7 linked regions of the Danio rerio genome follow. The main gene of each other region encodes a partner of the protein of the gene in region 5 in a complex. Links are inferred from orthologs where the notes say so. Each region holds a gene or a part of one and is shown on either strand. Other genes may lie near its edges. The genes, in order: snrnp200, lsm3, lsm5, sart1, smx5, prpf8 and lsm7.

Region 1 (3,500 bases), on a different chromosome or scaffold from region 5:
CGGAACTGACGCAATGGAGACATTGACTGCCACCTTGATGAAAAACAACAAAAACAAATGATAGAACATCACATGACAAGACAAATGTATATACAGGGTTTATGCAGGTTTCACCAAGTTAAATTTAAGACTTTAGGACATTTTAAAGACCATTATGAATGAAATTTTAGACTTATACAGGGCTAAACGCAAGGATATTTTTTAGAATATCACAGTTGGAAAAGATTTTCACTTGCCTCATCATAAAAATAATAATAATTTAATAAAATAATAATTATAATATTTTAATAATAATAGATATGTCAGGTTAGTATCCTTTGCAGTTAATATATGGATAACTTCTAAACAAATGCTATAGTAAGGAAAATAATTAAACTATTATGGTAAACAGAGTTAAAAATGAAATTTTTAATTAAAAAGTTGCATTGTTGTATTGGTGTTGGCCAGATTATGTAGATTTACATGAACAAAGAAAAATTAAGACCTGTTTTAAAAAGATTTAAGACCTACAATACAATGTTTCAGCACATTTAAGACTTTAAGGCCCAGTGGACACCCTAATATAATTATTCTTTCCAAAGTCAACATCAAGACAACTCACATCCTTTTGTCAATCATCTTGCAGAGGTTTAAAGTCTTGTCGGTAAGCTGGGCCCAGCCTCTGCTCAAAACAATCTCAAAGATAGCCCTCATCAGCCTGCCAGCACTCTGCAAAAGTCGAACACAATGTTAATACAGGAAATCAGTCAGACTGAAGGGAAAAATGTTTTTTTATTATAAGACAAGATTTTATTCTACACTCGCCTGCGTCACATAGACCATGTCAGCCATTAAAGCAAAGCCCTCCAGTTTGAGCTGAGAGATATATGCCTGCAGCAGCACGTTAATCTGAAAAATAGACATAACGTTTAAGATAAAAAAGGATCAGCCAACTTCACGTACAACTGACATGTATTTAAAAAAAAAAAAAAACCTTTGCACTGGGTTCTTCAATGCTTTCCTTCACTGGAATAGGGACTCGCTCGAGCAGTTTCTGAAGCTCGAGTTTTTCTTCCTGTCAATCAGAACGTAAGAACCACGCTTGTTAAATCCTGGAAGCAGATATTTGGATGAACCAATTCGTCTGGTTAAATAAAACAAGGCACGTACCTCTCTGACAGTAATGTTCCTAAACTCAGATGAAAGCGAGAACACCCTGAAGAGCTCGATCTCACTCAGTGTGGGCTTTAGCAGCTGGTTGTAAGTCATTATGGACTCATGGGTGATGTAGAAATGACTGGCGATGCGCCCCAGGTCTGTCACCTTCAATGCAAACACATTAGCCATCATTTAAAGCACATCTGTTGCTGCCGTTTAAATATTTAATCAATAGATTCAGGCAGCCGTGCTGAAATCCATTATGCCATGCTGGGGGATTTCAAGCTGGTACAATCTCGGCATTGATTGTGCATATAAATCATCTGGATGTGCCAAGAGGTGTTTAGAGCAGTGGTTAATGTGATGAGCAAGAACAGTGTGTACCTGAAAGCTGCCAGATCTCTTGTCGTATTTGACCAGGTTGTTCTTCTCCAGGACGGTAGCTGCCGTGTGCACCAGGTCCATCCTGCGACGCTCCAGCAGGGGGTCTATGCTGCGGTCGTCATGGGACACGCCGTATAGTGTGGGGTTACGCAGCATGCGCACATACAGGTATGTGTATCCCAGCCAATTTACAGCATCCTAAAAAAAATAGACCAATCACTGCTAGAGATGTTGAATTTACAGAGAAATACTGCTGTTAAGCATGTGCAATATTATCTGTAGAAAATAATATTTTCAAGTGTGTGCTGTAGAAAAATGACAATGTAAAACTTTAATTCTGGAAATAAATCTAGTAATGGTAAGGTTCCAATAGTCAAATAGTGCAATAATAATGAGAAATACATTATTGTACTTTTTACCGCAAGCGTGAGCAGTGGTATGGAGAGTAGAGGCAGCGCGAAGGCATTTGCCTTTCACACTGACTGCGCCTGCAGCGCACAGCTCATCAGCAGCTGTTGCACAGATCAATCTATCTCTGTCTAATCTATCTATCCATCTATGCACTTTTTTTTTTTTACTTTTCATCTGCATCAAGGCCCAGGGCAACTTCCTCCAAGGCTGTTTCCTTGACCTGCAAGTCTTTATTTTACAAATGATATAGATCTTAAAGAACTGTATGCGTCTCAAGCTCTATGAGGAGTGTCATTTATGTCTTTTAGACATGTGGTATCATGTCATTTTGTTTTTGACTGTCAGGATAATGTAGGATTAAAGTTATAATAATATTTATACGTGATCAAACCAGTGTGCAAATGAAGCAAAACTGATACTAAAATGGTTTTAAATTTAGTTTTGTAGTTCGGGCCCAAACAAATAATTGTTGCTGTTTTTATTCGTTTAAGTTCATTTGATTGAATATATAAAAACCAGTGGATATTATCAATGTATTTGTTGGGTAAAATTACAACTTTTTACTATCATTCAATGTGCTTTTGGTCATTTTTTTGTCACTTTATTTAAGCGTGAGAAGCGCGGCAAAAATAGACCCACCGCTGAAAATATCACTTCAGTGGCGCTCACACCTTGTGCTTATGCGCTGCTTCTGTGCGCAGTATGAAAGCTTTAATCTGTTAACATCAACGCCAAAAAAACATGTGCTGCGTGAATATGAAGTAAATATTTTGCCAATTTACTCAAGTACAATAAACAACTTTAATTTTGAAAACAAATTCTTCAACAATATGCTTCACAATCAATCAAAAACTATAATTTGGAAGACACAGAAAGCATTAGCAAAGCAACATTTTCAACTTCATAAATATTGAGTAAAAATTATGACTGATGTTTTTAAAATTAGTTAAAAAGTTATATAAAAATTACATTCATTTTTTCCCCCCAGAAGTATTGGAAAATACTAGGCATAATGGTATCTTTATTTAATGATTATTATTCACAGCAATATGTAAAATTACAATCTATGTATATATTCCACATCTTATAAAGGGGGTGCCACAAGTAGACAGTTAATTTTTTTTTAAAACCGCCTTTGATATATCACCAAAAAACTAATTAAATTAAACCTATATAAAAAAACACCTGCTATTAAACTAACCATAACCCTAATCCAAATGCATTTACAACTCACCTTGGCATTCTGCACGTTGCCCAACACAATCTCTGCATTCAGCATGTCAGCTAGTTTTCCCACCATCTGGCTTTCGATGGGCAGCTGCTGATTGAGCAGGGACAGGTAATACTGCAGCTCTCCATGAGAAGTGATCAGAATACCCTCTCCTTTAGAGTCATATTGCGGTCTGCCAGCACGACCCAACATCTGCACCAAAAAGTCAAGAGTTATTACCCACAGTTCAATTAACTTCTTAAAAGATTGATGAAAAACACTGACCTGTAGGATGTCCAGTGCTCCCAACTCCGTCCATCTGCCTTTCTCTGGGCTGTAAACCTGTGTGCCTTTGATT
Region 2 (4,286 bases), on a different chromosome or scaffold from region 5:
AGAGCAGTGGTGGGCCAATAAGAAGAGCGCAAAGGCAGGGCAAGCATTACGGACTTGGATTTGTTTACTGCAACAAGTTGACATGATAACTGTTTTAAACCATTCCCGAGCGCTGCATTTTTGCAGACAAAGAGCAGACAAACTGGTTGCACACAACAATTTTAAGCTCTCGCAGAAATGCTCCCAAATATATTTTAAGGTCGCATAGATAAAATTTCGGGCGCATATGCGACCAAAATAGTCGCAATTTCGAGCCCTGTTAATGCAAATATGGTAAATAAAAGAAAATAAATATTTAAAGAAATGAATATTAAAATAATAAAAGTATATTTATGTCAACATTTATCCTTTTTGGTTGTGCTGTTTAATTCACACAAAGGAAGTTGTATTCAGTACATTTTTGGTCATCCATAAGTTTATTTACCTCTGTAAAATACAAAACATTTACATTTTTCTGATCCCTTATCTCTGTGATTTGTTATTAAAATCAAACAGATTTTTCAATATACTGTTCATATATACATACGTACTGTTAAAATAACACATTAGAACTGCTGTAGACTATTAGTTTAGACTTGTATTTTAGATCTAAATACAATTACAATATAAATATTATTTTAATCCTCTGTATGTTTCCTTTCTTTTACTAAACACTTTACATACTACACTAATGCGTGTAGTCAATTATTAGGATAAAACATTTGATTATTACATTTTAATAGATTTTATCAATTCACTTTTACATGTTTTTATCCTTTATTTTCTCCAAAAAATCCACAGACCAAATTCATGTGACTTTAATAACAGAACATAATACATTTAGAGACATAATTGAACTTGAGTCTGTATAAAATGTAGTATTTTCCCTCAAGGGCAGAATAACTAGAGCAGTGGTTCTCAAACGTTTTTCATCAAGTACCACCTCAGAAAAAAATTGTCTCTCCAAGTACCACCAAAATGAGCAGTATTGAGATACAATAGCCTTGTAGGCCCAGTAAAGCAGCTACAACTCTGCACAGTTAAAAAAACGTGGCAGATTACATGAGAAATATAGGCTATATGTCATATGACATTATATACATCATTTTTATCAATTTTGAAATGTGTGTAGCATGTACATGACATATTTTATTCCTCCACGTACCACTAGAAGGAAGCCTGCGTACCACTAGTGGTACACGTACCACAGTTTGAGAACCACTGAACTAGAGTATATAATATGTACAATGTGGTAGTTTCTCTCATGTGCAGTATAAATAGAGTATATAATAACTACAATGTAGTATTTTCCCTCACATGCAGTATAACTAGAGTATATAATATTTATATAAGTATTTTCCCTCATGTGCAGTTGTAGTTTAATTAGTATATATATATATATATATATATATATATATATATATATATATATATATATATATATATATATATATATAAATAGTATTCCCAGAGATGGGTTGCGGCTGGAAATGCATCTGCTGTCTAAAAACTTGCTGGATAAGTTGGCGGTTCATTCCGCTGTGGCGACCCCGGATTAATAAAGGGACTAAGCCGACTAGAAAATGAATGAATGAACATAAATATAATAATGATAAATATAATATGCCTAATGTTTGCCTCAGGTGCAGGATAACTAGAGTATAATCTGTTTAATTTAGTTTTTTCTCTCAAGCGCAGTCTAACTAGAGCAGGGGTGGCCAATCCTGTTCCTGGAGATCTACCTTTGCTTTGTTTGAAACAATATTTTTTGTCATTATTAGTGCAAACTTATATGAGCGATTATATCATTAAATGTGGAGGGGGGCCTAACAATATTTTCCAGGGAAAAAGGGGGTCTCAGGCAAAAAAAGGTTGGGAACCAGTGAACTAGAGTATATACTAAAGTAGTATTTCTCCCGCACATGCAGTCTAACTATAATATTTAATGTTTAATTTAGAATTTTCCCTCACGTGAAGGCTAACAATATATCTATAAAAGTACTTTACCTCAAGTGCAATTTAATAATGTTTAATGCAGCATTTTCCCTCACATGCAGATTAACTAGAGTCTATAATATGTTTAATGTAGTATTTTCCCTCACGTGCAGTATAACTGTATAATGTTTAATGTAGTATGTTCCCTCACGTGCAGTATAATTAGTGTAACTTATATATACACAATGTAACTTAGTATTTTCTTGCACGTGCAATGTAACTAACTTTATGTAACATTATATAATGGTTAATGTAGTATTTTGAATCAGGTTTAGTATAACGTTATATAATATGCTTAAGGTTGTATTTTTTCCAATAACGTACAGTAGAAACGTGTATTTAATGTAGTATTTTCCCCTCGTATGCAGTATATTATGTGGCATTTCCCTCACGTGCAGTATAACTAACTTAGAGTATGTAATGTAGTATTCCCCTCACATGCAGTCTGCCACGCAGTTCTCTGTCATTCCTCATCTTTACATAGATCCTCTCATCCAGACTGAGCCGAATCAGATCCAGAGGCTCTTCTACGGTGTTGGTGGTCTGTTGCTGTAAAGTAAATTTCAGTGATGTATTTTATTTGAATGAAAATGTCCATGCAAACAATCGTCGTAGTTACAAGCTGCTTTAGCATAGGCTACCCGTGTGTTCAACTAGTTAAAAATAAACACAATTAATACGATTAACCTCCGCGATAATCAAACAGCTAACGAAATATTTATACAAAGCAAAAATTGCAAACCTGCTCAGCGTCGTCCGCCATCTTTCAAATCTACCCAGAATGCATTTTCCGTTTCTCTCGCGAACAAATCATTAGACGGAAAATGCATCTGCTTCCTGTTAGACATAGATATATACGTTAGATGTCGCCTACCCTGTTGTTGTCTATTGGAAGGAATGCGTCAATAGATCCACCATGTTAGTACAGGGAACCGCTCCTTTGAAATGAATGCAAGCTGTGACCATCCAAAGCCAAAGATATACACATAGGCTATGATCGGGAGTTTTCCCGGATGTCACTGTGCAATTATTTATTTATTTATTTTTTTTAAATTACGAAAATTATAATTTTTCATCCCTTTTCTACATTGATGGATCAGTGATCGCACAGACATTCCTGAAAAAAGCTTGTGTTTGTGAGTATGGAAGTACTATTCCCCCTCCCTGTTAGATTTGAAACACATCTCCTCCTGCTTCCTTTAAATTCCGCATTTTCATATCTGGGAAAGCCCATCTCACATTTCCTGCAAAGGAAAATTAGACAATTTAGTTGTATAGTGAAAGTTGTGAGGCTGATCATCTGGATTGCATTGTTATCAAGAGTAGGCTATTTGGTGTTTATTTATATGCAATTTTGCATATGAAATTGCAACTTTATCAATTAGGCAATGTTGGGGTCACATCAGTCCAACCTTTAACAAAACAGTCACAACTGGACTTGATTTGGTTGCTTTATATGTGTAAAAAAAAAAAAGAAAAAAAAAACTTATGGTGTTTGAGGTCAAACTGACCACACTGAAAAAAAATGAGAAAAGTGGAAAAAAAATTAAGATTATTTTTTTTAAATGAATTTTAAACCCATTATAAATTTTAAAAAGTTTAACATTTCTGCAAAGGCCTGGGTCTAGAGCACAAATAAAAATTGGAAACAAAAACTTTCTGAATATTAAAATTTTCTAAATATTTTCTTTTGCATGTCACACAACATGACAGTAAATTATTATAATATTTCTTTAAGAAATAAATAACAAGTTTAGCTTGCTGCACTTGAAATTCAACTAAAAGCAAATGCTGAGAATGTGTGACAGTCAGTTAAATATATATATATATATATATATATATATATATATATATATATATATATATATATATATATATATATATATATATATATATATATTAAAAAATAGATGCAGTAACCTGTGCCTGTGTTGCTATTCAGTTATGTAGATCGACTGTGTAAGCTGAGAAAATATTTTATAGCCTACCATTCCTTCTAACGCTGAAGGACTACTGAGACATTCAAGCATGGGATGGGTCCTAAAGCATCAAGAAGTAAAAGCTGAAATGAATAGATGCATAAGGACCCCTGCTGGATATATGTGGAAACTGCAGCTTTTTCCCTCGTAACCTCAGATGACATCATTTTATTTCTAAAGTATAAAACAATATGCAGAAACCTTTTATATTAAATTTAGGACAGACTTTTATTGATTTTTAAATGAAAAGTTGATTTTTCATAAATCTAACAATGGCTTAATTTAATGCTTGAAATAATTAAACCGCTTCAATATGGTGTATTTATAATACAG
Region 3 (3,980 bases), on a different chromosome or scaffold from region 5:
CTTGAATACATGAGTGTACACTTCACATTCAAGTACACTTCACATTCAATTGATTTTTTTTTTTTTTTAATCAATGATAATACTTGGAATTATTCTTTAATAATAATGTCACAAAATATTAAACGGTTTCAATAGTGATAAAAATTTGCTAATACCATTGAACTTCTAACTAAGCATACTTTAAAAAAAGTTTCTAAAAAGATTAGAAAATGCCTTCTCTATGCAGTATAGTTTATAGAATAATTAGAATACAGTATAAATAGTCTAATGGTATAAAACTTGAGCTTTAGTTAATCTCTAGAACGAAAGTGCTTTTTTTATTGATAGTTTATCCTAATAAAACAAACACCTAAAATTTTGGAGACAGGATACTGATCGTTTGAAACTCGAACAGCATTTAGAACAATAGAAGGTTGAGTAAATGTTGACAATTAAAATTTTTGAGGGAACTATCCTTTAAGTCAAAGCAGAAGAGAATGCATGAATACACTGTGCAAAGACAATTAAGCAAATATTTAATATTTTTGTTTAGGAAATATACTTACAATTCTGTGACATCCTCTAGGACCATGTCTGATGTAAAGCATCAAGGAAATGTACAACATCGCAAAGATAACATTACATAGACATTTACATTTCTCTGTTGACAACATGTGATGTAGTGTATTGTATTTTTTTATTTAATGCCATGTCAGCAATGCAAGGCTATTTTCATGGCAAGAACATTTCAATAATAAATATACAATTAAAAAACAAAAACAAATGAATACATAAATTAAATACATCTTTAAATGCTAATACATTTTTTTATAATTTTTTTACTATTTTCCAGGTGTCATTTTGCTAAAAATGTCCTGAAGAGACATCATTTGATAAAAAAAAAAAAAAAGCCTTCTGGAATTGTTAAAAGCAGGACAATCCAGTAAAATCTGTTTTACTGTAAAAGAAAGTGTGATGTGCAAATATTGAGCAGGGTCTTCACATTTGAGCAAAAAAAAAAAGCATGGATCATTCTTGCATGTCCAATACAACATCTAGTAAAAATCACTAAATCAAATTTAGTCTTAAAATGACTAAAAATTCAGTTTGAGATTTCAGGTTGTATTTCATACAGTTTATTATTTCTCAATGCATCCTACTCCTCTTGCCACTTATTTAAAAAGTAAACGTTGATAAAAGATTTCATCTCTAAAAGAGGAATTTGGCATTCGTTCACAACTTATTTCAAAGCATCCTTAGCTGCTGGATCAAGCTCGCTCGTTTCCTGAAAGCCCAACATGTCCCGGAACCCAGCAAAAAAAAAAAAAAAAAAATATGAAAAAAAATGGTTTTGTAAATGGTGAACTTTAGTTATAATATCATTAATCAAAGGATGATCATTTTCTGAAGATTCCATCACTTGGAGGCATGATTTGGAGTCTGTAAATATGATAGAGTTCTTTTGTTGGACATTTTCTTATATTAAAATGCTAAAACTAAAGCACAGGCTAATGAACATTCTTTAGGCAGACTGATTCCACAACGTTGTTGTTCAGTAACCATTGCTGCCGTTATGCCATTTTCCACCCTGGAAGAGCAACCGCTGCGTAAAACATATGCTAAATAAGTTGGCGAGTCATTCCGCTGTGGCGACCCCAGATTAATAAACGGACTAAGGGAAATAAAGGGAAATCTTATGTGTAACTATATCTTTAGCTAGCAGTATTTATAAAAAAAAAAAAAAAAAAAAAGTTGAATCCAAAACTAAATTGTAAACATCACAAATATTTGACAGTGTTTTGTTTATTTTTTTACCGCCAGTAGGTAAAGGATACTGACAAAGTCGTCAAACCCAAGCAGAGTTCCCACAATCTCTTTATCGTTCTTCATAACGATGTGAATCCGAGAGCCAATGCACTTATCCACCAGCTCTGAAAGACAGCACACAATCCCCATCATAAACACAGTCACATCATTGGCTGTTAAAGGAAACATTTTGAGTGGTCAGTGTGATATACAACTGTAAAACCTTGTAAAGAAATTCAATTTATGTTAAACGTTACTTCAACAACTATACAGCCAAGGTAAGTTTTTAACGAACCACGTTTAATAAAATTTAAAATTTCTTTGGCTTTAACACTAGGTGTGGGATTGAGTAATATGTTAATACCAAATTCATTCTTTAAAGTACTAATTTTAGGCTTATTTGACTCAACAACAAAAAAATCCTGCGAGTAAAGAGTGGAGTGGCTTTTAATCATTTGACACGGTATCTCTAATGTCGTAACTCATACATAAAATTTTATTTTCAGAGTATCTTACTTATAAATACATCTTAATGGAAATTGTTAATGATAAATGTGTTCCCAAGTCATAATTACAATATTTTAAACTCCAACAGAGGGAAACATATTAGTGATTTATTTTTTTCGCCCACACTAACTAAATGAACTGGCTTCCGTTTATATATAATCAATCACACATTGATGTATAAATTTGTGAAATTAAATATTTAAGTTAAAATAAAAACACATTGACATGATTAGGGCCACATCTTTTGTGCACAGGTGTATTCAATTAGATAAAAAAGCAAAGTGAGTTACGAACGTGACTGATTGGCATCTCTGCCCCGTACAAAAACACAAAAGTTATGTCAGTAAATGATAAGCAATTTTAAAGAAAGTGAAACAAACCGAGTGGTAAAAGCTGCGAAGGATTCGTTGCTGTGATTGCCGCCATTTTGATAACAGACCTGAATAATCGGGACCGGAAGCCAATTACAAGCATGGATAATCGATATCAGCACACATCGATAGCATCTTCTTCTTCTTCTTCTTTCTGTTTTATGGCGACTAACAATTAAAAGCATTATCGCCACCTACTGTACCGAATCTTACTCCGATGAAAGGGCAACAAAAAGAAACGAGGAGGGAGGGAAAGGGGGGAAAAAAACACCTTGGATGTTTCATATTGTCCAATCTTTGCATCTAGACCACATACTCATGTCAGCACTGCGTGTTCAGCTCCTCTAACATAAAGGGCCTTTATGACAATGATTGAGAATACTCTCATCCATAAATATAAGACTATAATAACCTAAATCCGAATACTCTATATACCTAATAAACGCTCTATATACTTGCCAATCTATTATACCTTTTCCTAGAATAATTTTATATATTGTTTTATCTTCCCCACACTGACTGAATAACATATTGCGATGTTTATTATATTTGCTACATATAAATAGTGCATAATCCACATTTTCAGTTACACCACATACATCACATTTCCCATCCTCATGTAAACCCATTAACGCAAGTGTTGCATTTAACCCTGTGTGTCCCAATCTTAATCTTGATAACCACACCTCTTCCTTCCTATTTCTTCCTTGATTTAGTGTTGTCCCTACTGTCTGTATAATACTATAGTGCCATCTTCCAGTATTACTATTATCCCATCTAATTTGCCATTTATTTATTAGTTTTTCCTTTAAAATCGATTTTGCCTCTCTTTTCCCCAGAGGTACATTTACTTCCTCTTGCTTATTTAGTGCTTCCTTTGCTAATTTGTCAGCAACTTCATTACCAGATACCCCAATATGTGATGGAACCCAGCAGAAATAAACGACTACTCCTATTTCCTTTAATCTATATAAAGATAAATAGATTTCTGTTATTAAATCCTCTCTATCTGATTTTGAGTTTGCTATACTAACTAAGGCTGAAGATGAATCTGAACAGATTACTACTTTGTTTACATCGATAGCATGAGAGGGGCTTGGCTTTTTGTACAGCCTGTGGCTGTAACATTAGAGCAGTGTTACCCAAGTTTTTTCTTTTAAAGGGCATGTCAGTCAGTCAAAATGTTGCATCATATAGGCTACCAAACTGTATGTCACAGTAATTTGTCACGGTAATTTGGAGTTTTATAGCTTGATTATAGCTTGATTAATTTTTCCATCTCCCAGTATCTCCTCTCTGATGGAATGACGGACCAAA
Region 4 (2,826 bases), on a different chromosome or scaffold from region 5:
TTTAAATTGGACAAGAAACAGAACTGATCTAAACTTGAGTGAAAAACATTGTAAGATATAATCATTCATTTTCCTACGGCTTAGTCCCTCATCCACCACAGCAGAATGAACCACCAAATATTCCAGCATATGATTTACACAGAGGATGCCCTTCCAGTTGCAACCCAGTACTGGAAAACACCCATACACTCACATTCACACTCATACACTAAAGCCAATTTAGTTTATTCATTTCACCTTTAATACATGTCTTTGGACTGTGAGGGGAAACCGGAGCACCTGGATTAAACCAACGCCAACTCGAATCAGCAACCTTTTTGCTGTGAGGCGACAGTGCTAACCAATGAGCCACTGTGCCACACCAGATATAATCAGTGTAAATAAAAAAAAAAAAAATATATATATATATATATATATATATATATATATATATATATATATATATATATATATATATATATATATATATATATATATATTCAGATGACATTAGCCCAGTCTTAAATCGCAACAGTTTTTATTGAGGGGAAAAAAACAAGACAGATAAGGTTCTACAGAGAACTGTCAATCAAAACAAAAAAGTTAAATCAAATAAGGGACTTAAATTCACATACAAGACAATGTCTGTATATACATCACCAGTTGCAACTGTGTTTAGGAGACAGCTAAAATGAGCGCATTTTGTGAGATTTTCTGTCCTTCTGTTCCAGAATAAAGATTTATTTTGTAATGGTATTTCTGTAAACAAAAAGAAGAAGATAAAACCAATTACTGAACAGAATACAGACAGAATGAAAAGGAAAGTGTAAATAAAATACGTACGCGTTCATGCTTTTCCCGCTGCCACTCAGCACAATGTAAGGAGTTTTCTGTGATTTCTGCTTTTCCTGCAGAAGTGCCACGGTTCCCAGAGGAGTATCACTGCTGCTCATCTTCTTCAGCAGCTGCACGGACAAGCAAAATGGACATTAGCTTTATAGTTTGACAACAATGATAGTATACAGAGCTCAGCCTTAAAGGGACAGTTCACCCTATACTGAAAAAAAAGAAAAATCAATCAATTTACTAACCCTTGTTTCAAACCTGTTTGAGTTTCTTTTTTCTGTTGAACACAAATGAATGTATTTTGAAAAAATTTTTATCGCTAACCATAAACTTCCATAGTATTTTTTTTCTACTATGGATGTCAGTGTTTACAGGTTTTCATCTTTCTTCAAAGCATCTTCTTTTGTGTTGAACATAAGAAATAAAATATCCTCTTTTTTTTTGGAAGATCTTAAAAGAGAGCGAATTGAGAGTACATTTGTATTTTTGGGTGAAGAATCTCTTTATTTATTCAGAAATCTCCATGTGCTTCTCATTCAGACTTTCTAGGAATAAAAATGATCTGTCCAAATAGGAAGTATGATTATTAAATATAATTAAGCAGAATTTATCCAGTGTTGTATATCAGCTGGTAATTACTTAAATCCGCATATTTGGGATATTTTCCCCTCTTAAATTGATATTAAATGAGTTTTTACACATTCTGATTAACTATTAAATGCATCATCTTTGAAATTGAAATAATGACACATGCATTTTGATTACAAAGAGAGATCTTTGGAAAAAAAATGGAGTTAATGGCTGACTTTCACCACAATGACAATATAATTTTCCATACTTTAACATTGACATAATTTTAGAGGTTATGAACCATTGAGAATAAGTTTAGCAAACTTTTTTTTTATTTATTTCTTGAAGAGGATAATGTAATATTTATGTTTGTATGTACATATGTGTGGAATTTATGCATTTGTGTGTGTGTGTGTGTGTGTGTGTGTGTGTGTGTGTGTGTGTGTGTGTGTGTGTGTCTGTGTAAATAAATATACAGTTGAAGTAAGAATTATTAGCCCCCCTTTGATTTTTTTTCTTTTATTAACATTTCCCAAATGATGTTTAACAGAACAAGGAAATTTTCACAGTATGTCTAATAATATTTGTTCTTCAGGAGAATTATTTGTTTTGTTTCGGCTGGAATAAAAGCAGTTATTAATTTTTTAAATACCCTTTTAAGGTCAATATTATTAGCCCCTTTAAGCTAGATTTTTTTAATAGTTTACAGAACAAACCATCGTTATACAATAACATGCCTAATTACCCTAACCTGCCTAGTTAACATTAATTAACCAAGTTAAGCCTTGAAATATCACTTTAAGCTGTATAGATGTGTCTTGAAAAATATCTGGTCAAATATTATTTACTGTCATCATGGCTAAGATAAAATAAATCAGCTATTAGAAATGAGTTATTGATGGATGGATAGACAGACAGACAAACAGACAGACAGACATGTATGTGTATATTTATATATTGTTTTTGTTTTTAATCAATATTATTATTTGTTTTGTTTCCACTTGTTATTTGTTCCTAATAAAAACTATTAAAAGTATTTTAAAAAAGCATAATTTTTGTATTGAATGAATAAATGCTATTGGGTTATCATAAAAGAAATCACCACCAATTCCATGTTTTCACTGAAGCAGCAGCATTTACAGTTTAACAAAGCCCATATGTAGCGTCAAAGTGTCAATTAATTTATATTCATATTTATAATACAACAATTTTATATAATACATTGTATTTAGCAATTATTATAAAATTTTAAACAATATATATTTTTAAAACAAACCACTCCTTTCCTAGCTAATGACGTTTTTAATTGGTATAATCGTCTGGTTGAGCAAAGTAAAATGATCTTACACTTAATCCTGCAAAGTGCAAACAATCCAGTTAGGGATGCTCATTTCAGTTAATTTTGCCAACCCATTCATGAACCAAATATTA
Region 5 (4,188 bases):
TAGTGTGGTCTACATTCGCTTTGATAAAGCCATGATTACTTTATTAGCGCATAAAAGTGCCTAAAAAACACAAAACAAAGGCACTGGTATATTTTAGGAACAGTAACTACGAGTTTCTTTTACTCTAAACAACTTACTTTTTTGTTTGGGACTAGGCTGTAAACTACAGGTGTCAAATTCAGTTCCTGGGGGGGCTGCAGCTCTGCACTGTTTAGTTCAGTTTAAGTAAGCACAACCAGATTAAAGTAATTAAATCTTTCGGGCTTCTTTGAAACCCAACCCTGCTCCAATACACTTGGAACTGAACTGTGCAGGGCTGCAGCACTCCAGGAATTGAGTTTGACACCTCTGCTAAACTATCCATTCACCTTAACCCAAGGGTGTCCAAACTCAATCTTGGAGGGCCGGTGTCCTGGAGATTTTAGCTCCAACCTGCCTCAACACATCTGCAATTATGTTTTTAGTAAGAGCTTGATTAGCTAGCCCTGGTGTGTCTGATTGGGTATGGAACTAAACTTTGCAGGACACCAGCCCTACAGGACCGAGTTTGGACATGCCTGCCTAAACCAAAACACCAGCATTCCACGAACATAATTTGTAAAATGCTGTCAGCTGAACTCCAACAATGGACGATTTTTTCCACCAAAAGGAAAGTGTGAAAACAGAGGAAAATACTTTATTTTTGCATCAATGTGTGAACCTAACTAAAAGTCATTGGTATGCAGTACAGAACTTTACCAACACTCATTAAAAGCACACAACCACTAACTTGTGAAGTAAAAAAAAAAAAACAGTAAATCACACCCTCAATAACAGGCTTCACATGACGTAAAAATGAAAGAGAAAAAAAAAACTTTACATGTTTTAGGTAAGAAAAACATTTAAATCAACAAAACTCCACAGATGATGCTTCTGAACATTGGAACAAAACCAAACTATTCTCAAATATAAACATTATTGTTTCTGTTGTGTAGCTTCTTTGCGTGCAGCATCCTGTAGTAGCTGTGTGTCCACTTCATCTGCAGGAAGCTGAACGTATCGCACCACTGATCCACGAATGAAGCAGTTCTTCACAGACAACTACAACAAAACAATATTAGAGTCATCTATATACACCAAAGTTCTCCTTGTTGAGCACCTACATCACTATGACAATTCATAAATCACAGACTTAATAACCTGATCTACATTAATTTAGGAATCAATTCAATTATCAGGGTTCCCTCTTTAACCCTTTAGCTGCCTGCTCTATCAAATGGTTGACCGTATTTTCACCGTTTTAAATAATGGTTTTCACTACACAGCATTGTTGGTTTACAAAAAAAAATCCTGTTGCAATTCTACACTTGCTTTCTAGTTAGTTTTTTTGACAATAAAACCAAAGCAATGTTATATGAGAATCTGAAAATATTTTATTGCATATTTCAAAAAATAAAGATGACTTAGTATTCAAAAAAAAATTTTATTTTGAATATTCTTTAAAATAAATTGGTCCTACACTTGCTATTTTCAGATTTTTCATAGTATTAATTTCTGTACTTTTACCATAAACCAATATATCAACCATGACATGAACATAACAGGCTTCTGTAGTGCTTATAAAAAATTGTAATATTAAATTAAAAATATATTGAAATGGTTTTAGCCATTTTATTACATTCATTTAATAGCCACTATGAGAACAACAAATGATAATTTACTTAATATAAAAAAAAAATACTTGCGGTTTGCATGGCTGTAAATATCAAATATATTTTAATAAAGAAAAGCTAAAATGTAAAGTAACAAACAAAAAATCCCTGTTATTCCATGAATCTGACAAAAATATATCAACATTTCCTAAATTTCAATGTCTGAAATGAACCTTTTAAAATTCCATGACATTGATAAAGATATTAGACCCAAGATTATGAGTGTAATTTTCATTTCATCCATTTCTCACCATGTGCGGATATTTCTCTGGATCAGTAACACTGATATCTGTCAGTTTGATGTTCAGGTACTGTGAGGGAAGAACAAATGACAAGATTAACTTAATCCTAAATCGCCCAATATTTGTTTATATTAATAAACGTGTGGAGTCAGTTTCCGTACCTGATCAACTGAATGTAATGTTCCACATATGCTGCAAAATAGATGTGTTCATAGTTTTACGAGCTGGCACATACATTATAAAATATGTATATTCAATTTCTAATTATATATATAATATTTGTAAAAGAAAGGTGAGCACTCACCTCAAGTCATTCTTGAGCTCCACCACAACATCTTTGCCAACCAAAGACTTGAAAAACGAGTAGAAGAGCTGAGAATAAACATTTGAAGGAATTACTCTCAAAATATGAGGCGGACAGCAAATAAGACATCGATAAAACGATTGAATCAAGTTTTATCAACAGACCAAATGAGAAATGTCAACAGCAAATAACACTGCTTTCTAAATTACGCAGGCAAATGAAATACCAAGACTTTAATATAATAGGAGTCAGCCAGAGTTGTTTCTGTTGGGCATTTAATTAAGGGGATAATCCTTGCTTGAGAATGTTGTTTTATTTGGCTATGAAGAAAGCTAGCGTTAGCTGTTAGCATGAAGCATTGTTTGTCTTTCTCGCGAACACAGTGGTCAAAAAAACCTAAATATGTTAAACAAATGGTCGTAGCACGTTTATTAATTCCTTAAACGTAAATTACTGTATGATATTGCTAAATAACAACACTTACCATTTTCACGCGGCTTTGTGCTTTAGATCACATACGTCATCAAAAAGCTGCCGGGTCTTTCACTCTGTGCTTCTATTGGCTAGAAGAATGAAGACGTAAAAATCCCATTGGTCGCGAAATTGTTGGCGTTTTGTTCTGTTTTTGCGTCATTTGTACTCATCTCAGTAAATTATTCCGCAATCGTTCATCACACAAAAGAGATTAAAAGGCGCATGTTCAATGGATGTGAAATATTTTCTTAAAACAGTCAACTTTATGCCCGAAGAGGTACATGACATGTCTGACACAGAGCTTGCTGATACACGTACATGGCTCCTCTTTTCTGGCAATTCCCTCTTTCGTCAGCAGATGGAGACAAATAATAATAAAGCACAGTCCAGGGCTCAGGTTAATCCTCTGCGTTATCCCCATTTATAAAACAAAAAAGCAGTCCACTTACAAAACGCTATATTGTAAAACAAAACAAAACCTCCACGACATGCTAATGATTATAATGTTTTTCACGATTATGTATTTATGTGCATCCAAAAAATGTAAATTCAGCCAATTTAATCAATTTACTTGTTTAAAACCATCTTGATCTTTCCATATTTTGAAGAACGTTGGGAACCTGTAACCATTGACTTTAATAGTATGACAAACAAATACTATGAATGTCAGTGCTTACAAGTTTTCAACATTTCTGAAAATAAAAATGGATTTTGGATTCTCTATAATTTAAAGATAAATGTTCCTAAACATATAGAGCCTTCTTATAACATTATGCTTTAATATGCATTCTCCTGTTTTTAAAAGCAAGCATTCTGAAAATTACCTAGAATGAATATAAGCAGGGATGGGCAGTATTTATGATAGGGTTGATGGAAATGGCTTAATGTTTTGTATTAAAAATACATTAATGTCTTTTATTTTTGTAGTTTAAAATATTGTAAAATACTTTGATGCTAAATGTTTGTCACTGAAACAAACAACATAACAATAAGTCCTACAATAAGTCCTACAAAAGGGACTAAGCCGAAAAGACAATGAATGAATAAATGAGTGGCGATTCCGATGCTGTTTCAAATGCCAGTAGTTGATCTGCAGATGCACTGTACTGTTAATGAAAAAGAAAGATGTACTGTATGCCTAAACATGTAAAAGTGACAACATGAGAAACGCACATTTAATAATTAAAAACTTCTGACAGGTTATACAGAAGGAACATGATATAATATATGAAAAGTTTATTTGCAAAAAAAGATAATTTTTTGAAAGTTTCAGAAATCATGTTTTTACACTGAGTATTAAAGAATCAGTTTAATGGTGAAGGGACTGATCAAATGGGCTTATTAATGAAAGGTTTGCCAACAAATATCATGTTCCTATTTAAAAATATTTTGTAGAATTTTTTAAAATACAAAAATACTGTATTTTATTTTGATACATTTTGTGGCTGAGGTATTTTGTAGTTTATTTTGATATACT
Region 6 (4,239 bases), on a different chromosome or scaffold from region 5:
TGGCAGTGGCTCTTGGCTCTATGGAGAAAATACAACTTTGCAATAATTGTGGACTGAATGCACAGACGTTTAATTCATACAGTTTAATTAATTTCTGACCTTGACTGAGTGCCTATGAGAGATGGGGTTGATCAGAGGGTCAAAGTAGAAGGCGGGTAGATCAGGATCTTCAGTCTTGATGAACACCACATTTGGTGTATGGTACCTGTATAGACCACCACAGAACAACAGTTCACTTAAAAACATCAGTTCAAGAGTTTTTGTGAATGATTGAACTGAAGGAAAGATAATGGTTCCTACCAGGTGAGGTGCACATGATGTGGCAGATTGTTGTACAAGTAAGGGAATGCAATTTTGTATTCTGTCCTGATTGGCTGTCTGATGATGATCTTGTTGATGTCATTGAACTCATTCCAGTCTTCATCCCTAAAACGAAAGTCAAGTTAGATCCCTGGATAACATAAGCAATTGCCAAATATACCACAGTTAGGACACAGTACGTACTGGAGGTTAATGTCTCTGACAAGTGGCTCAAATTTAGGTCCTCCAGGAATGGCCATGTTCAAAGCTTTAGAGGTGAAGAAAGCTTTCAAGTCAAACAAGTAAAAGTAATTGTCATCCACCAAGTCTGTCAGCAGCTGATTAGCCAATCGATACAGAGTGGACATCATTGGCAAAGTGAATTGCCATCGTCTGTATGTGGTCCCATTCACGTATCTGTGGAAGGAAGAAAAAAGACAAACCATAAACAAATGAAGCAAGTAACCATATTTTTAAAATTGTCCCCAACACTCACTTGGTGGTGTCTTTCAGAGGTTGATGCTCATAGAGCCAGTCTGTGACAGAAGAGTCCTCATCAGGGTCCAGCTCCATCTGGATCGCCTCCAGAGGCTCCACATCCAGGATGTTGTCTGCATAATCCAAAGGAGGCTCTTCATCATCAAATGGCGGGAAACGCATGCGCTTGAAGTGCCGTCTGTCTCTCTTCTCACGACGCATCATGATCCACATTGTGCTGGTGTAAAGAGAAACAGTTTAAACATTATAAAACAATAAAAAAAAATAAAAAATTGAATAAACAATATTGCTACAGCTTCTCCCCAAAAAGGGCACTATAAATCTTTCAATCAAAATATTTCCTTCTCAAATATGACAAGCAAAATATTACAAAAAAATTAATTTATTTAATTTTCCTTGTTTTACTTTGAAATACGGTAATGATAAGATGTTTTAATGTTAATAATTAATTACAATAATATGACAATTTTTACTGCTAAAATTACACTTTGGTCGCATAACCACAATTTACTGCACAACTACGCAGCACCCCAAGAAAATACTACAAATGGCCTTAGCCAACATTTTTTCCCACTAATCTATCCTCTCACAAGTGACATCACACAGCCACTTACCCCCACTGAGAAATGTACACTGGCTCAATAACCCAAGGGATTTCATTCACGAAAGATATAGCGCCTGTGATGTGGTAGAGCACAGGTACATCTCTGATCTGCTCCCAGGGCATTGGCATGTTCTCCAGCAGTTTGAGCACTGCATGGGGCATATACTTCAGGGCCCTGCAGATTAAAAACAACAATTAATTTTACATAAAAAAAACTTTAATAATGATAATCATATAAAAACCAGCTACCTTTGTAATGATGCAAATGTTCTTACCCTAGGTAGACTCTTTTATCATGACGAAATTTCCTGTTCGTCATGTCACCATGATCCCTGATAATTTTGCGCACATGTTCTGGTGGCATGTCCTCTTTCTGAGCATCCACGAAGCCAAATTTCCTTTTCTCAGAGTAGCGCTTGGCCTGCAGCTGCTGCCATTTACGAGCTACAAGAAGGAGATTTCATTTGAAAAAAAGGAAACAAACTTTGAGTCTTGGGTACAAATTGCATGCCGTTGTTAACCTCAAGAATTTTGCCAACGCACCTTTCTCTTGCAGTTTCTCCTCAGTCATATAATCTGGCACTGGAGCAACAGCAGGAGGAGGTGGAGGAACACCTGGAGGCATTGGTCCAGGAAGACCTCTGTAGGGGAAAGGAGCTGCCATGGCAGCGTCTACTGCAAGCAGAAACATTAAATCATAAATATAGAAGGTTACACTGCAAAACATGAGTAACGCACAGAAAAGACAACAATTATTTCAATAAAACACGTCCTCACAAGCCTACAACAACAACAAAACCTAAATAAGAATTCAGTAAGCAGGAAGACTGACCTAACTAATGCTAATTTAATCGTTCTAAAAGAAACTAAAATGTGGAAGTATTATCAACTAGCTTTAAAGTACATAACTTAATCACATTTTTTTCATAACAATCACATCAATGAACTTAGCCGACTAACTTGCTATCGCGCCTGAACTCTTTTCTTACCTTCGAAAAATAATCTAGAAACTATTTATTTACACAAGACAGCCACCGGGTAGACTTTTACACAGTCTTTATCTTAAGTAACAATATTTACGACTGGTGTGTATGAATGTATGTGGTTTGATTAGTTTCTGTGGCATCGATAACGCATTAGTTAGCATGTTAGCTTAGCTTACCGAATATTACACAACAAGTAAACCGTTTCCGGAAACAAACAGTTTCAAATCGTAAGTGATACTTTGAAATCTTGCAAATAAAATATGCACAAGCTCGTACAGAATGAAATAACTTACAGTTAAAAGCAGTTTCTCGCCAGTGACTGTAGTTGTACGGTGGTTTTGTGCTCAGCGGAATGGCGTACTATGCACGTTGTGCGTAGAGTCTTTCCATTCTCCAAAGCGCTTACGTATCTGAACAATTCTACCTCAACGGAAATGATAACAAGCTACGACTTCGAACGTAAGAAAATGCGTAGGACCCAACTTCCGGATATGACACCGGATTTGAAAAGTCTCGCTGTCCTTTTTAATTTTTTACTAACATTAGTAATAGGGGACACATAAAACATTAATTTGTCCTAATATTGTGTGACCAGAATACTAATGATACATATTCGTTGTACAGCTAGTTACAAAGATGTTACAAAGGCTAAGAAAAAACAATACATAAAATGTTTATATATATATATAAATATATATATATATATATATATATATATATATATATATATATATATATATCTTCAGCATTTCAGTTGTCTTGGCAGCTTTCTTCTTTAGCAATTCATAATAAAGTTTTAAGTCAATACAAAATGTTCTATTAGGCAAACACTGAATAACTCTACATTTGTGAAGATGGAAAAGGCCACAAAGAGGTAAAAATGTCAACACACTGTCCAATTCCTTACAATCTGACTCCCAAAACAAAAACAATAAAATAATTGTCTTAAAATCAATAAGGATTTTATAAGCTGATAAGACAAGCCAAGATATTCTGTCTAAAAATAAATGTACTGTTGTACTATTAGATTTATAGAATGTGCATTGTAAAGAATTGTTTTTATTAAATTTAGATAGTAAAGAATTACAGGGATAGTAATTATGAAGGATTTTAAAATAAAGTTCTGTCATCTTATTTGGTACTAAAAACGTATTGATACCAGGCCAAATTGTAATGAGGGATAGAACCGGGTAATTTAATTTAAAGTTATAAAATGCTTTTCGGTACAAGCTAGACTTATTAACAAAATTTCTTCTAATGTGCTAATTATTACATTTAATATAAGTAATTTATCCAATAGCTAATTAATAAATAACTAATTTGTGCATTTCACATTTTAAGTCTGTATAAGCATAGGTTCTAGTCAAATATAATAGTTTTGTTAAAATAGATTTTATAACCAAATCATACTCTGGGCTAAGTATCCCTTCAGAAAATTGCAGAAAACTCAAAGTAAGAGTAAATGTTACCGTCCTTTTTTAATAAATCTAAAATAAGAACTATTCCTCTGTCCACCAATTCTTTAATAGAAATAGATTTTCTACTCTACAGCACATTCTGATAATTCCATATTATAGATGTGTTGAAAACAATTGTGGCAGAAATCAAGTTTACCTGCTTCCAAAGCTTACTTGTGAAACTTTGCAAGTTTGATAAGGAGTTTATTACAGCTTAAATCAGAGGCTGTCTCGTCCTTCTAAAGGCCACCTTTCTCCATTCTTTTTTATTTTATTTACTGCATTAGTCTTAATTTTTGTTATTATTATTTTATTGATTAGGTTTCTTCTATTCGACTCATGTGTAAGTATAGCTGGATAAAAAGTGTCTGCCAAATTAAATAATAAGTAACGG
Region 7 (4,161 bases), on a different chromosome or scaffold from region 5:
ACCATTGATATAATGATAATAGTCAAACACAGATGTCTTTACTCTTAGGGCGGGGTTTTTTCGTATTTTCGGATGTGTTAACACTTGTAGTTTAGTCAGTTTGTTTGGACCAAACAAAAAAATTATACATAGTCCTAGTTTGTCAAGCTTTCATACTCTGATTTTTGACAGAAAAGCAGCTGCATTTATGACATTCAATTCAGCTTATTCAGCTTTATTTGTATAGCGCTTTTACAATGTAGATTGTGTCAAAGCAGCTTCACATTAATGGTCATAGTAACCGGAACAGTGTAGTTCAGATTTTAGTGTTTAAGTTCAGTTCAGTTCAGTTTAGCTCAGTTCAGTGTGATTTAAAATCATTACTGAGAGTTCAAACACTGAAGAGCAAATTCATCAATGCGTAGCTCTACCAATCCTGAACCATGCGAGCCAGTGGCGACAGCGGAGAGGGGAAAAAAACTTCACCTGATAGGAGTGAAGAAAAAAAACCTTGAGAGAACCAGACTCAGTTGGGCACGACCATTTTAATTTCTCCGCTGACCAAAAGTCATGTGCAGAGCTTCAGTCACCGCGGTGGATTCTGTGACTTTAAATTTTCAAAACAATTCTGTATGTTTAGATACACTTGTTTGCTGTATGTGCATGCACACATTTTTTAATCAGTTAAATACGGTGCCCTAGAGAGGACAAATGCAGTGTAAACATGCAAATAGAAAAACACTTACAAACTGAGAATTAATCGTCATTAGTTTAGTAACGTGAATGCAACTTCCAAAATATGCACATAGAAATGTTTTGGGGGACCTTTGGGGCAGCTTTCTTTTTAGAGACAGTGGTGTTGTCAGCATTTAAAGCTAAAATTATCCAAACACCAGGGAATCATACAACTAGGACGTTAAAGTAAAACACTCAGCTCTTTGACAACACCACCACCTCTAAACAGGAAGCAGAGGGTCGGGTTCATTACATTTTCAGGTCCCCCGACACATTTCGGTGCATATTATCACATTCAGGAATATGTGTCTCAGCTTTCTCAATCTGTGTTTTTCTATTTACCTGTTGTTGTTTTTTTTTTAGTTATAGTTTATCCGAAAACTAACCGTTTCACTACTAGATTTCAGCATTTTTCAAAATATCTTCTTTTGTGTTTAACAGAAGAAAGAAACTCAAAAAGGTTTGAAACATATAAAGGGTGAGTATTCAATGACTAGGCGTGGGACAATAACTGTTTTAAGGTTTATCGCGGTTTGAAAAGTCAAGGTTTTAAAAACGTTAAAATTGTCTGTTATACCGTTCTCAAGGTATTTGTAAGTTTTTTTTTTACGACTATTTTATTGAGTTTTTTTGGGCAACAATAGAAAAGGACCATCCACATCACAAGTTACCATGATTCAGGAAACATCTGAAAAACAAATCTCTTATAAACCAACATCCAGCATGCTGTAGAGCTGAACAGTGTAGATGATTTTTTTTATATCCAAAGAAAAGAAAGATATCCAAAGATGCCTTTTCAAGTTGAAAAGAAATCTGTGCTTTTGAAACTAATTAAGACAGCAGAAGTCAATGACATTCAACAATTAATAAACAATAAATTATTTAGCCTGACATTATAGTTTCAAAATATTTTAAATGTTAAAAAATATAAACCATGTTCAATGGGGGAAAAGTTTTTTTTTTACTCAGACATTTAAAAATAAAATATTTTGGAGCAGTATGTACAATAACATGATATTGTGTAACTGTGATATTTCAACCTAAGGTTATCAACCGTCAGAATCTTATACCAGCCCATGCCTAACAATGACAGTATTCATTTTTTTAGGGTGAACTATTTAACTTCAAGTGCATTTAAACTCTCTCAGAAAACCATATTAAATGTGTCAAACCAACACCAGAATTTCCTCTGGCTCACACACACCCAAATGAAGATCTGCTGAGACTGTTTCTGATGCCTGAACTGAACGGTAAGGAGCAACATTGTTATGCTGACAAAAATAGCTATGCTGGAGCATTCTGCCTTTTTATGTTTAATATCATGGCATCATGTCCTCTTTGGGTTGATTTAGATGCATTTATATATCAGTCAACCCACAAGAGTTTGTATGTTGCTTTATATAATTTATAATTTAATAAATTGATTAATTTTATAATTTAAATTGCAGCATTTACACTAAAATTTGTTCAAAACAAACCACACTAACATTAATACTGTGAGAAATTTAATGCAGAACATAATTTGGTACATATTCGGTTTACATTAGCACATTTTACCTCGCATGTATTCAATGGTGCCGTCCAACACAAGATTCAACAACGGGTCGAAGCCTTTTAAGACGCCACTTGCTGAAAATAGGAAACACTAGTGTCAAATTTACCACAATTCATTTAAATATCATAATGTGAAACATTTAAATTCATAATTAATTTCATAAAGCAACTCCCTCACCTTCGCGACCTCCTTGAAACTTTACACGTATATGTTTGTCGATGTATTTCGACAAATCAAAAATACTCTCCTTCTTTTTCTTGTCTTTGTCCTGAGGATCCAAAAACATATTATATAACAATCTCCAGGCCTCTATAATAAATATCAGACTCGTAGCTTAGCACAAAAATACACCACACATCACATTTACAATTACCAGCACACCCTAATGTGTAACAACATAAATATCAAGAGTGTAGGATATATTCAGGTGCTTATATGTTTGTTTATAACGCCGTTTGTCCTTAAAAGTGTTTATAATGTGAACGGTGTGGAAACGTTTGCGCTACTCACCGCCATGTTCAAAACTCCTCTACGCCCCGCCCACTCCGGGTTCACGTTTGACGTCTACCTCTCGGCCAATCACAACGCGCGCAGGTGAACTCTGATATCAAATGTTTTCAATTTTATCAGCTTTATTCACGCACAACTACACAGTATATACAGCTTTAAATGTTTATATCTATATTATACGATTTATAAAAACAAAAACATGTTGAAATACGATGATACGCGTGATTAGGTTGAAGTGTTTCTCACTTCCGGTTGGAAACGGACAAACGCGGGAGTGAAGCGCGAAAAACAAATGAGTCTTTCAACAACCTAAATAACATCTTTAAAACAGGATTACACGATTTTTAATTATTATCGTTGCTTTGTGAATGAATTAGGAATGACGGAATTACTTTTTAACAAGCGGTTGCAGGTGCTGGTGAAGAGTAAAGATACCGATGAGAGGTTTGTGTTGATTGTCTTGTTTTTGAACACAATGCCTAACTTAAATTGATTTATGGTATGAATTTTGGCTTTATTTTGTCTGTAATTATTAACATTTCGAAGTCTGTAAGGGTCTATATGTGTTTATATATGTTGTTTTTGTTACTACAGGCGTTCGGTTATTCGCGTTAGCATTGAACTGCAGTTACCATCCAGCCCTGTTCACAGAAAGGTTTGTTATTAACATGTGTACAACCATATTTATGCCTTTAAGCATGTTTTATGTGGTCTTATAACTTTTTTTAAATTTTTGATCAACAGGATTTAGTTGTACGGCTGACTGATGATACTGATCTTTACTTTTTATACAACCTTATCATATCAGAGGAGGATTTTCAAAGGTATTGTGGTATTAAAAGTGTCATTTCATCAATGAGCCATATTTATTTTCAACACTTTGCTATTAGGCTTCTATGTGATTATATTCTGTGTAATCGTTTTTATTTGCTCTTCTTCACAGCTTAAAAGTACAACAAGGGCTTTTAATAGACTTCACATCATTCCCACAAAAATTTATAGACTTACTTGAACAGTGCATTTGCGAACAGGACAAAGAAAACCCACGGTAAGAGGTTATAATTCATAATAATGTTCAGATGTTGCAGTTGTTAAAGTGATAGACAGGCTAAAGTCAATAATTACTGATGATTTAGTCAACCTCAGGACAAAAATTTCTTATTGGTTCTTCACTGAGTCAAATATTAATACTGTTTGGTGTTTATTTCAAAAATATAAACTTTTTGAAATGAAACTTATATAAAATTTTATAAATATCTATCTAACTATCTATCTATCTATGGGAAAAAATAAAGAGACCCCTTGAAAACTCTATATTTGTATTTGTCTGTACATGTTTGAAAACATTTCTTTTTTTCTTCTAAATTTCAAATCAAATAATG

Evidence for each region.
Region 1: smx5 (region 5) and snrnp200 share a complex: the UniProt entries of both Homo sapiens proteins name them as parts of the U4/U6-U5 tri-snRNP complex. The link is inferred for Danio rerio from reciprocal best matches to the Homo sapiens genes LSM2 and SNRNP200.
Region 2: smx5 (region 5) and lsm3 share a complex: the UniProt entries of both Homo sapiens proteins name them as parts of the precatalytic spliceosome. The link is inferred for Danio rerio from reciprocal best matches to the Homo sapiens genes LSM2 and LSM3.
Region 3: smx5 (region 5) and lsm5 share a complex: the UniProt entries of both Homo sapiens proteins name them as parts of the precatalytic spliceosome. The link is inferred for Danio rerio from reciprocal best matches to the Homo sapiens genes LSM2 and LSM5.
Region 4: smx5 (region 5) and sart1 share a complex: the UniProt entries of both Homo sapiens proteins name them as parts of the U4/U6-U5 tri-snRNP complex. The link is inferred for Danio rerio from reciprocal best matches to the Homo sapiens genes LSM2 and SART1.
Region 6: smx5 (region 5) and prpf8 share a complex: the UniProt entries of both Homo sapiens proteins name them as parts of the U4/U6-U5 tri-snRNP complex. The link is inferred for Danio rerio from reciprocal best matches to the Homo sapiens genes LSM2 and PRPF8.
Region 7: smx5 (region 5) and lsm7 share a complex: the UniProt entries of both Homo sapiens proteins name them as parts of the precatalytic spliceosome. The link is inferred for Danio rerio from reciprocal best matches to the Homo sapiens genes LSM2 and LSM7.

Annotation. Positions count from the first base shown.
Region 1 is NC_133183.1:33,107,129-33,110,628, forward strand, and holds part of snrnp200 (U5 small nuclear ribonucleoprotein 200 kDa helicase), read right to left. Parts: coding exon 3,428-3,500; intron 3,356-3,427; coding exon 3,167-3,355; intron 1,720-3,166; coding exon 1,522-1,719; intron 1,303-1,521; coding exon 1,150-1,302; intron 1,055-1,149; coding exon 974-1,054; intron 889-973; coding exon 805-888; intron 709-804; coding exon 602-708; intron 34-601; coding exon 1-33. UniProt on the Homo sapiens protein: Catalyzes the ATP-dependent unwinding of U4/U6 RNA duplices, an essential step in the assembly of a catalytically active spliceosome. Plays a role in pre-mRNA splicing as a core component of precatalytic, catalytic and postcatalytic spliceosomal complexes.
Region 2 is NC_133197.1:33,572,435-33,576,720, forward strand, and holds the start of lsm3 (U6 snRNA-associated Sm-like protein LSm3), read right to left. Parts: upstream 2,801-4,286; 5' UTR 2,738-2,800; coding exon 2,717-2,737; intron 2,524-2,716; coding exon 2,413-2,523; intron 1-2,412. UniProt on the Homo sapiens protein: Plays a role in pre-mRNA splicing as component of the U4/U6-U5 tri-snRNP complex that is involved in spliceosome assembly, and as component of the precatalytic spliceosome (spliceosome B complex).
Region 3 is NC_133187.1:13,906,748-13,910,727, forward strand, and holds the start of lsm5 (U6 snRNA-associated Sm-like protein LSm5), read right to left. Parts: upstream 2,801-3,980; 5' UTR 2,719-2,800; coding exon 2,673-2,718; intron 1,911-2,672; coding exon 1,815-1,910; intron 574-1,814; coding exon 546-573; intron 1-545. UniProt on the Homo sapiens protein: Plays a role in pre-mRNA splicing as component of the U4/U6-U5 tri-snRNP complex that is involved in spliceosome assembly, and as component of the precatalytic spliceosome (spliceosome B complex).
Region 4 is NC_133196.1:30,364,959-30,367,784, reverse strand, and holds the end of sart1 (U4/U6.U5 tri-snRNP-associated protein 1), read right to left. Parts: intron 945-2,826; coding exon 823-944; intron 739-822; coding exon 720-738; 3' UTR 501-719; downstream 1-500. UniProt on the Homo sapiens protein: Plays a role in mRNA splicing as a component of the U4/U6-U5 tri-snRNP, one of the building blocks of the spliceosome. May also bind to DNA.
Region 5 is NC_133181.1:30,702,522-30,706,709, reverse strand, and holds smx5 (smx5), read right to left. Parts: upstream 2,801-4,188; 5' UTR 2,725-2,800; coding exon 2,722-2,724; intron 2,306-2,721; coding exon 2,238-2,305; intron 2,126-2,237; coding exon 2,095-2,125; intron 2,003-2,094; coding exon 1,943-2,002; intron 1,081-1,942; coding exon 955-1,080; 3' UTR 20-954; downstream 1-19. UniProt on the Homo sapiens protein: Plays a role in pre-mRNA splicing as component of the U4/U6-U5 tri-snRNP complex that is involved in spliceosome assembly, and as component of the precatalytic spliceosome (spliceosome B complex).
Region 6 is NC_133190.1:30,766,022-30,770,260, forward strand, and holds the start of prpf8 (pre-mRNA-processing-splicing factor 8), read right to left. Parts: upstream 2,801-4,239; 5' UTR 2,682-2,800; intron 2,078-2,681; 5' UTR 2,067-2,077; coding exon 1,946-2,066; intron 1,847-1,945; coding exon 1,678-1,846; intron 1,578-1,677; coding exon 1,413-1,577; intron 1,016-1,412; coding exon 797-1,015; intron 718-796; coding exon 505-717; intron 427-504; coding exon 301-426; intron 206-300; coding exon 100-205; intron 19-99; coding exon 1-18. UniProt on the Homo sapiens protein: Plays a role in pre-mRNA splicing as core component of precatalytic, catalytic and postcatalytic spliceosomal complexes, both of the predominant U2-type spliceosome and the minor U12-type spliceosome.
Region 7 is NC_133197.1:10,401,045-10,405,205, reverse strand, and holds the start of lsm7 (U6 snRNA-associated Sm-like protein LSm7), read right to left. Parts: upstream 2,801-4,161; 5' UTR 2,786-2,800; coding exon 2,780-2,785; intron 2,538-2,779; coding exon 2,447-2,537; intron 2,344-2,446; coding exon 2,272-2,343; intron 1-2,271. Other genes in the region: sass6 (spindle assembly abnormal protein 6 homolog), read left to right, coding at 3,159-3,223, 3,374-3,434, 3,524-3,603, 3,723-3,827. UniProt on the Homo sapiens protein: Plays a role in pre-mRNA splicing as component of the U4/U6-U5 tri-snRNP complex that is involved in spliceosome assembly, and as component of the precatalytic spliceosome (spliceosome B complex).